2 linked regions of the Saccharomyces cerevisiae S288C genome follow. The protein of the gene in region 2 interacts with the protein of the main gene of each other region in a biochemical or structural test. Each region holds a gene or a part of one and is shown on either strand. Other genes may lie near its edges.

What was found. The genes of interacting proteins can lie anywhere in the genome.
Region 1: of the proteins of RPS20 (region 2) and HEL2, one has a biochemical effect on the other in vitro, tested with the Saccharomyces cerevisiae proteins (3 studies listed by BioGRID).

What each region holds. Positions count from the first base shown.
Region 1 is NC_001136.10:999,145-1,003,802, forward strand, and holds HEL2 (E3 ubiquitin-protein ligase HEL2), read right to left. Parts: upstream 2,880-4,658; coding exon 960-2,879; downstream 1-959. Other genes in the region: PEX10 (ubiquitin-protein ligase peroxin 10), read left to right, coding at 1-733; iron-sulfur cluster assembly protein CIA1, read right to left, coding at 3,366-4,358. UniProt on the Saccharomyces cerevisiae protein: E3 ubiquitin-protein ligase that plays a key role in the ribosome quality control (RQC), a pathway that takes place when a ribosome has stalled during translation, leading to degradation of nascent peptide chains.
Region 2 is NC_001140.6:73,215-76,640, reverse strand, and holds RPS20 (40S ribosomal protein uS10 RPS20), read right to left. Parts: upstream 1,230-3,426; coding exon 864-1,229; downstream 1-863. Other genes in the region: YLF2 (Ylf2p), read left to right, coding at 1-544; YHL015W-A (uncharacterized protein), read right to left, coding at 1,859-1,942; DUR3 (Dur3p), read left to right, coding at 2,397-3,426. UniProt on the Saccharomyces cerevisiae protein: Component of the ribosome, a large ribonucleoprotein complex responsible for the synthesis of proteins in the cell.

The sequences.
Region 1 (4,658 bases), on a different chromosome or scaffold from region 2:
ATACACTAATAGGAAGGGTACCAGACTTGCAGGACGGCTCAAAATGATTGTATTCGCTTTCGCTTATCCTTTATGTCCATATTTCATCACCAAACTATACAAGAAAATAATGAAGAACAACAAGGAAAGTAAAATTGAAGATACTGAAAGTGTTGCCGCGTTTTGTAAGGGCCTTTTAGATTTCATTTTAGACGTACACATGACCCTCTTTTATTTCAAAGGAGCTTTTTACAGTATTTCCAAAAGGATTTTTGGTATGAGATATGTTTTTAAACATATATTGTCAAAAAATGAGGCCAATTTTAGAGAAGAGGGCTCACAAAAGTACAAAGTATTAGGTTATATCCTATTAGCTCAAAATGTTATGAAATGGTACCCTGTCCTAACCTCTACGCTCGGGTCCTGGATTTATGGGAGAAAAAGGACCAATGATTCAATTACTAGGTCGTCTGTTGGTCTACAGGAGCGTTCAGAACATGAATCTATAGAAGGCATACCGAAGGAATCGCAGCTGACTCATATAAATTTGTCAGATAAAAACCAATTGCCATTTATTCCAGAAGCCTCGAGAAAATGCATCCTATGTCTCATGAACATGAGTGATCCTAGCTGCGCGCCATGTGGACATCTATTTTGTTGGAGTTGTCTTATGAGCTGGTGTAAAGAGAGGCCAGAATGCCCCTTGTGCAGACAACACTGTCAACCACAGGAAATTCTGGTCCTGCGGCAATAGAGGAACTAATCAATAATTTGACTACTCTTTTAGCATTGTCCACAGGCCTTTTTCAGAAATAACGCAGACGTCTGAGCAGGAGAAGTAAAACGCGAAGGGGAAATAATGCTTTTTAGTCTTGTAATTATATTAATTAATTAAATAAGTTTTTCTTTATCGGAATTTTATTTAAGACTTTCATTTCTCTAATGCTATTGTCAGTTACAGGTTAGAAATATATTTCCAACTATACACCAATGTGGAATAACAGCTGCTTTTGTTTGCCTTTCTTTTTATTTCCTCCACTAGTTGTGTTCAATTCCCTCAAATTATCGTGCACGTTAGTATCTTGTGTGCTTGACTTTTTACCCCACTGCTTAGGATCAGCAATTTGGGGTCTGTTCAGACCTGGAATTTGCACCTTTGGCTTTGGTGGAGGTAGTTGAGGTAGGTTGAGACTTTTCAATTTATCTTTGCTATTATTTAGAGAAGTAGAAGAGGAACCCTTTTTACTTTCCAAATAGGTTGGAGAGAAGGCGACTGTATTAGTGGAAGTTCGATAACTAACTGATTGAGGTGTAGTTCTTTTAATGTTTTGCACGGGTCTCAGAGTGTTTTTTTTTACGGTGGTTGCAAAGGGATCATACGACGCTGAAGGACTTTTCAGGGTTGGAAGATTTTTGATATTCCTAACGCCTAATGCTGCACCAGCGCTGCCCCCATCGTTTGTTCCACCCCAATGGCCCCTGCCTATTGACATTGAAAGGGAAGAATCACTAGATAAAGAAGGTAGTGAAGTTTGTCGTGCAAGGGTTTGCTCTCTTTGTTCATATATGGCGTTCAGATTATTGTATTTGGAGGAGTTTTTGGGAAAGGTTTCAGCTAAGTTATGAATCAATAAATATACATCCGCATTTGGTTTTGTGAATAACAATTTATATGATTCCAATAATTTTTCAGCACTTAAGCGACCTTTAGAATAATCTTCGTTATAAGAAGAAAACTTATTGAAGTCTTCTTTGGAATTTTCCAGATAGTATTTTGCTCTTTCTGCCAATCTTAGTCTACTTTCCTCGGGAGAACTAGCAGATCTCACATCAGTTCTAGAGCCGGATGATGAACCCGGTAGGGAAGATATAGATGGAAGGTCGTAATCATCTCTTTCCCTGATCACTCTAGATGGAGCCGAGATAAAAGTAGAAAGTTCTGACTGGAAAAACTTTGGCTTTCCCTTCAGGATATTACCATGCTCCTGCAAAATGTGGGCTTGTAACTCCAACTCGTCTTTAAATACGACAAACTTGTTATCTAAGCAAGTTTGGACGGTGCAAACGTAATGCGAATGTTTAAAGTGGTCAAAAAGCTGATTATAATCCTTAAAGTATTGAGGAGAAGCGGGGTTCATCTTATCACAAATATGGCACTTTTCATGCTGATTTCTCATGTGAATGTACAATTCGTCGTCTGAATAAAATCGTTTTCCGGAACAGAAGGCACACATAGGGTGGCCTTTGAATCCTTCTGAATTACCCTTAGTTTGATGGTTGCGTAATTGATTTTGGGTGAATATTTCAAGCTCACAAGGGAATGCATGCTTATGGGTTGCACATATTAAACAGATCATTCTGTTATGTTCAGATTTCAAGTGTTCATTATATTTCTTGAAACTACCAAAGTCACAAACTTGTTCATCCTTCGATAGGGGACAAAAAAATTTTAAAAGATTTAGTGTTTCGGTAGCAACCTCTTCGCTAGTGAAATTTATTCCATATTTTTCATTTTTTTCGCAAAAGTTATATTTATCTGAAATATCACCATCTATGCGATCGGTAAACATGACTTCTTCATTCTCCGTTCTGCAAATCAAACAGCTTTTCTTGTTGTACAAAGCTCGTTGTCTGAAACCACAGATATGGCATGTCTTATGATGGCATGGTGTTAGAGATACGTATGTTAACTTGCGCGCACAAATTACACATAATTCATTTTCTTCATCAGTATCATCTGCGCTTGAAGTGGTGAGGTTGGGTTCAGCAGAAAGGTTATTTTTCTTTTGCTTTCTTCTGAAATTCTTCCTGTCGTTGTGAGGTTTTGTATTATTTTGGGGCCCTTGAGTACGACGGAAGTTACGTGTCGGAGTAACGTTTTCTTTCACTGATTCGCTCATCCTAATTCTTGAAAAGAAGTATAGCCACTATTTTTTCGACGAAAGAGACTGTATCAAAATGCACTTTATGGATCTTTTTCAGCTAGGTATGCGCTCGACGATTTGTTGAATATGGCTGAGTGGGCAGTCGTTCAGATGCCCTTTTCAAAATCTTAAGAGAAAATCAGAAAATATAGCTATTATTAAGAGTGACCGCGAGTATGAAACTTTCAGTGTAACCTTTCTTTATTCGAGATAATGCTTAATTACAAGTCTTCCGAATATCTAATTTTTTTTTTTTTCATTTTTAAATTTCAGTTTTTACCGCATGCTTTTAATGCAGGGATATGTATAACGAGGTCACTCCGTCACACATGACAGAATTGCGTTATAGTGATACAAAGGTTTATGTAACTAGGTAGAAAAATCGTCATTAAGTTTATTTTTAGAATTCAGATCGATCACTGTGTTAATATGAGTTCCTGAATTGTACTCTTGCTTCTACATCTACGCTGCTTTTTCTAGAGACCAGAAATTTACGATCCCGTCGTCACCGCCTGTTGCAAGTATAGTTTTACCATTTAACTCCAACCACTTCACAACGTTGATTTCATAAACTCCATGACATAATGCACGTTTAGCAAAAACTTTCCATTCTCCGTCTACTTCTTCATAGACCGCTAGTACTCCATCCGCTCCTACACTAGCAATGAGGCCATTAAAGCCCCATGCAACATTGTATACCTGTCTTTTGTGTACATCCGGGAGAATAGCTTCACAAACCCATTCTTGTTGATCATCCTCGTCGTCACCCATGTATTTCCATACCCGTACAGTGGAATCGTCGCTTCCACTGCACAGTCTAAACACGCCCTCAGTCTTGTCAAAATCAGAAGACCAAACAGTTCCTTCATGGCCATTTAAGACAGCAACACATTCCCAGTCATCGTCATAGTCTTTCCATATCCTGACGGTGTCATCATAAGAACTTGAAGCCAGTAATGCTTCAGATGGATGCCATATAACATGTTTAACGTCTTGTGAATGTTCTTGCAAAACACTAATACACTCATATTCCTCGCCACTTTCATCTGTTTCCCATATCCACACGCTTTTATCTCTGGAACAGGTTGCTAGGTAATATCCATCATTCGACCACGCTACACCTTTTACTTCATTTTCGTGACCTTCGATAATAGCTAGCAGGTCCATCTCGAAAGTTCTGTCAGCAGATTCTTCCTTAGCCCAGATAGATACAGTGGAATCAAAAGAGCCAGCCGCTAACAGCGAAGTGTGAGGTCTCCACGCCACAGATCGAATCGCCTTTTTATGAGCAGTCTCATCTAGCACATCAATTAACGTAAAATCGTCATATTTCACGCTAACTAGCTTAATTTTTCGATCAGTTGAACCTGTTGCTAATATACCTTGAGAAAAGTCAAAAGACCATATCTTTTCCTTGTAAAGTTTCAAAGACTTAATCAGATTGATAGACGCCATTACCAAATAAGTAAACCAATTGAACTATTAAAATGTCGTGGTATAGCCCGATTTTGATTTGTGATATCTACAAATCTAGTATTTATTCGCAATTAATGAGGCAAAGACGATACAATATTCGATGTGAGATTTTTCAAAACACGGCCCGCTGAGAGCAGAAAGTTTTAGATGACCTATTTGAAGGCAATCACGATGGTATTTTTCAAGAAAATAAATAGTAGTAACACTGCTATGCACATCAGAGTCAGATTCCTTAAATTCAAACGTTTCTACAATTAGTATGACCTTTTCTTGAAGATC
Region 2 (3,426 bases):
TTTGATATTGCTAAATGTTTCACCTCAAGATTACGTTAGGAATGAAAATAAATTTGTCAGAAATATTATAGAATGGATTAACGAATTTTCGCCAGGAGATAAATTCCTACTTTTCAGTGCAGAATTTGAATCGCAATTGATGGAATGTAAAGGCATAGCGTCAGAGTATTTTGACAAGATCAAGGAAGATACCAATGTTTCTGATCAACAGTTAGTTTCTGCGATACCGCAAATAATACTAGAAATGAGAAAGTTGTTGAACTTAATTAGCTTCTTTACATGCGGCCCACAAGAAGTTCACCAATGGAATATAAGGGAGGGAACCACCGCTCAAGAGGCCGCGGGTGTAATCCATAGCGACTTGCGTGAAACATTTATCAGCGCTGATGTAATAAAATATGACGATCTGAAGAAGATGGAACCACCGCTAAATGAGTCTTTACTAAAATCTAAGGGACTTATCAAACGTGCAGGCAAACAATATATTATGCAGGACAATGACATTGCCTTATTCAAAGCCGCCGGTGGGAAAATTAAGAAATAGTTTGTCATAAAAAATACTTGTAAATATGAATAGAAACGCTTGCTTTGTTTTGTCTTTTCCAATAATTACACAAGAATCAACAAAAGTATGAGATATATATATATATATATATATATATATTATATTTGCATAAGGTTTAACCACTGATAGTAAGACAGAGGTATATCGAGGAACTGTGTTTACCTAGAGTGGGCTGATTCTAATAGTGCAGCTATATGCGAAAATGAGAAAAAAGGAACCGCTGAATTCAATAATATATTTTGGTTAATGGACGAGAAAAAGAGGAATCTAATGGAAATTATTTCCAGTTAGAACCAGCTTAGTTGGAAGCAACAACAACTTCGACATCCACACCAGGTTCAATGGTGATTTGAGTGATTCTCTTAACGATTTGAACAGGAGCTTCCAAGTCGATGTATCTCTTGTGGATTCTCATTTCGTAGGTTTCCCAAGTCTTAGAACCTTCACCATTTGGAGTCTTTCTGGTGGAGATCTTCAAAACCTTGGTTGGTAGTCTGACTGGACCCTTCTTGACCAAGTTGTGTTGTTCAGCGTTCTTGACAATGTTGGAAGAGACGTTTTCCAATTGCTTAACCTTGGTGGAGGTCAAAGTGATTCTAATCTTGATGATTTGTTGTTGTTGTTGTTCTTGTTCTTCAACCTTTTCCTTTTGAAAGTCAGACATTTTGTATATACCTTTTTGTTTATTTTACTTGCTTTCTTGTAGGAGTTTCAATCTAAAGCTGAGCTTGAATGAAATAACCCATCTTTACTATTATTTTGAATTCAATACGGTCTATTACTCAATCTCTGAGGCTAGTCGCGAATGCGTCGAAGTTTTTTTTTCAAAATTAAAACATTATCGTTACCCGAACTTTATCTTCATAAAAATAGTTGTGGCATTTTTTCTCTTATGTTTACGGATGTAGAAAATGTACAGGTGTGAACTTGCAGGTAAACATTTTTACATTTTTACTTTTATCTTTTCCCCTTCTATAGAGATAAAAATAAGAAGTTTCAGGGAAATCTCTCTTTCCATAGTAAATAGTGTTAGCAGCAGACAAGACAAGAAGGATATCAATGACGATACGCATTTTTCCGAATGATCTGGTCAGATAATTCTTTTTTTCCCTTTATCGGGAGGTTTTGATGAGAAAACGATGTCAATAGTATTCTAGTCACAATAGGGAGCTAGACGGCTATTCAATCAGAATGCGACTATCCGGAGTTATCCTCAATGATAGACGTTTCTCCAGTTAGGAGCGCCAAGAATGTGTGAACAAAATGCACAAGGTGCAGATTTGGCGCTCTTTATCAGCGCTTCATACGGTAGATATGAACTTTAATTTTGAGATTAGCCAAGACCAAAGGTTCTCTTAAAGATGCAAAAGCAGTCATACAGGTATTTGTTTTATGCAGCAAGGCTGACTCAAACTAGGCATTCCAATTCTGTTTATCTATTGGTGCCGCACCTTTTTTCCGATGATGAAATGAGGCGGCGCACATTTGGGTGTTATCTTATCGGGATATTTTATGATAGCAAATGCGACAGACAATAATGCTCGAGAGTGGACAGGCCAATAGTCAGTTGCAGCATAGAAACAAGCAGGCGTACCTATGGGAAAGGTGTAACTCATCATTGCGCTTTCTACGGTACGGTTATCCTTAGATAACAGGCAAGATGTGCTCTATTCATCGGTGTTGCATGAAGATACGTCTTGTTCGCCAAGTATATAAAATGAAGCAGTAGTATAGCCGTAGCTTTACTATTGTTAGCAGTTTCCCTTGTCTAGATTCTTAAATTGGGTTCATCCAAGAAAAAGTAATAACATAAATTTGTCATTGTTATAGTATGGGAGAATTTAAACCTCCGCTACCTCAAGGCGCTGGGTACGCTATTGTATTGGGCCTAGGGGCCGTATTTGCAGGAATGATGGTTTTGACCACTTATTTACTGAAACGTTATCAAAAGGAAATCATCACAGCAGAAGAATTCACCACCGCCGGTAGATCTGTAAAAACCGGCTTAGTGGCTGCAGCCGTGGTTTCTAGTTGGATCTGGTGTTCTACATTGTTAACGTCGTCAACAAAGGAATATGCAGACGGTATATTTGGCGGTTATGCGTACGCTGCTGGCGCATGCTTCCAAATTATTGCATTCGCAATTTTGGCAATTAAAACCAAGCAAATGGCTCCCAATGCGCACACATATTTAGAATTAGTGAGAACAAGATATGGTAAGATCGGCCATGGTTGCTACTTGTTTTATGCCATCGCGACGAATATTTTAGTCACTTCAATGCTTTTAACTTCAGGTTCTGCTGTCTTTAGTGATTTAACCGGGATGAACACTATCGCATCATGTTTTTTACTGCCTGTGGGTGTTGTTGTTTATACTCTATTTGGTGGGATTAAAGCAACTTTCTTAACGGACTATATGCACACATGTGTCATTATCATCATTGTCCTCGTATTTGCCTTTAAAGTTTATGCGACTAGTGATGTTTTAGGCTCACCGGGAAAAGTTTATGACTTAGTTCGTGAAGCCGCCAAGAGGCATCCAGTAGACGGTAACTATCAGGGTGAATATATGACCATGACATCCAAATCCGCTGGTATTTTATTAATTATTAACCTGATTGGAAATTTCGGCACCGTTTTCCTTGATAATGGTTATTGGAATAAAGCGATTTCTGCTAGTCCCGCAGCGAGTTTGAAAGCATATGCCATCGGTGGGTTAGCATGGTTTGCAGTACCTTCTTTGATTTCATTGACCATGGGATTAGCATGTCTTGCGGTGGAAACGTCTCCGAACTTCCCCACCTATCCTGATCCACTTACTTCGTTCCAGGCAAATTCTGGGTTAGTCTTGCCGGCAGCTG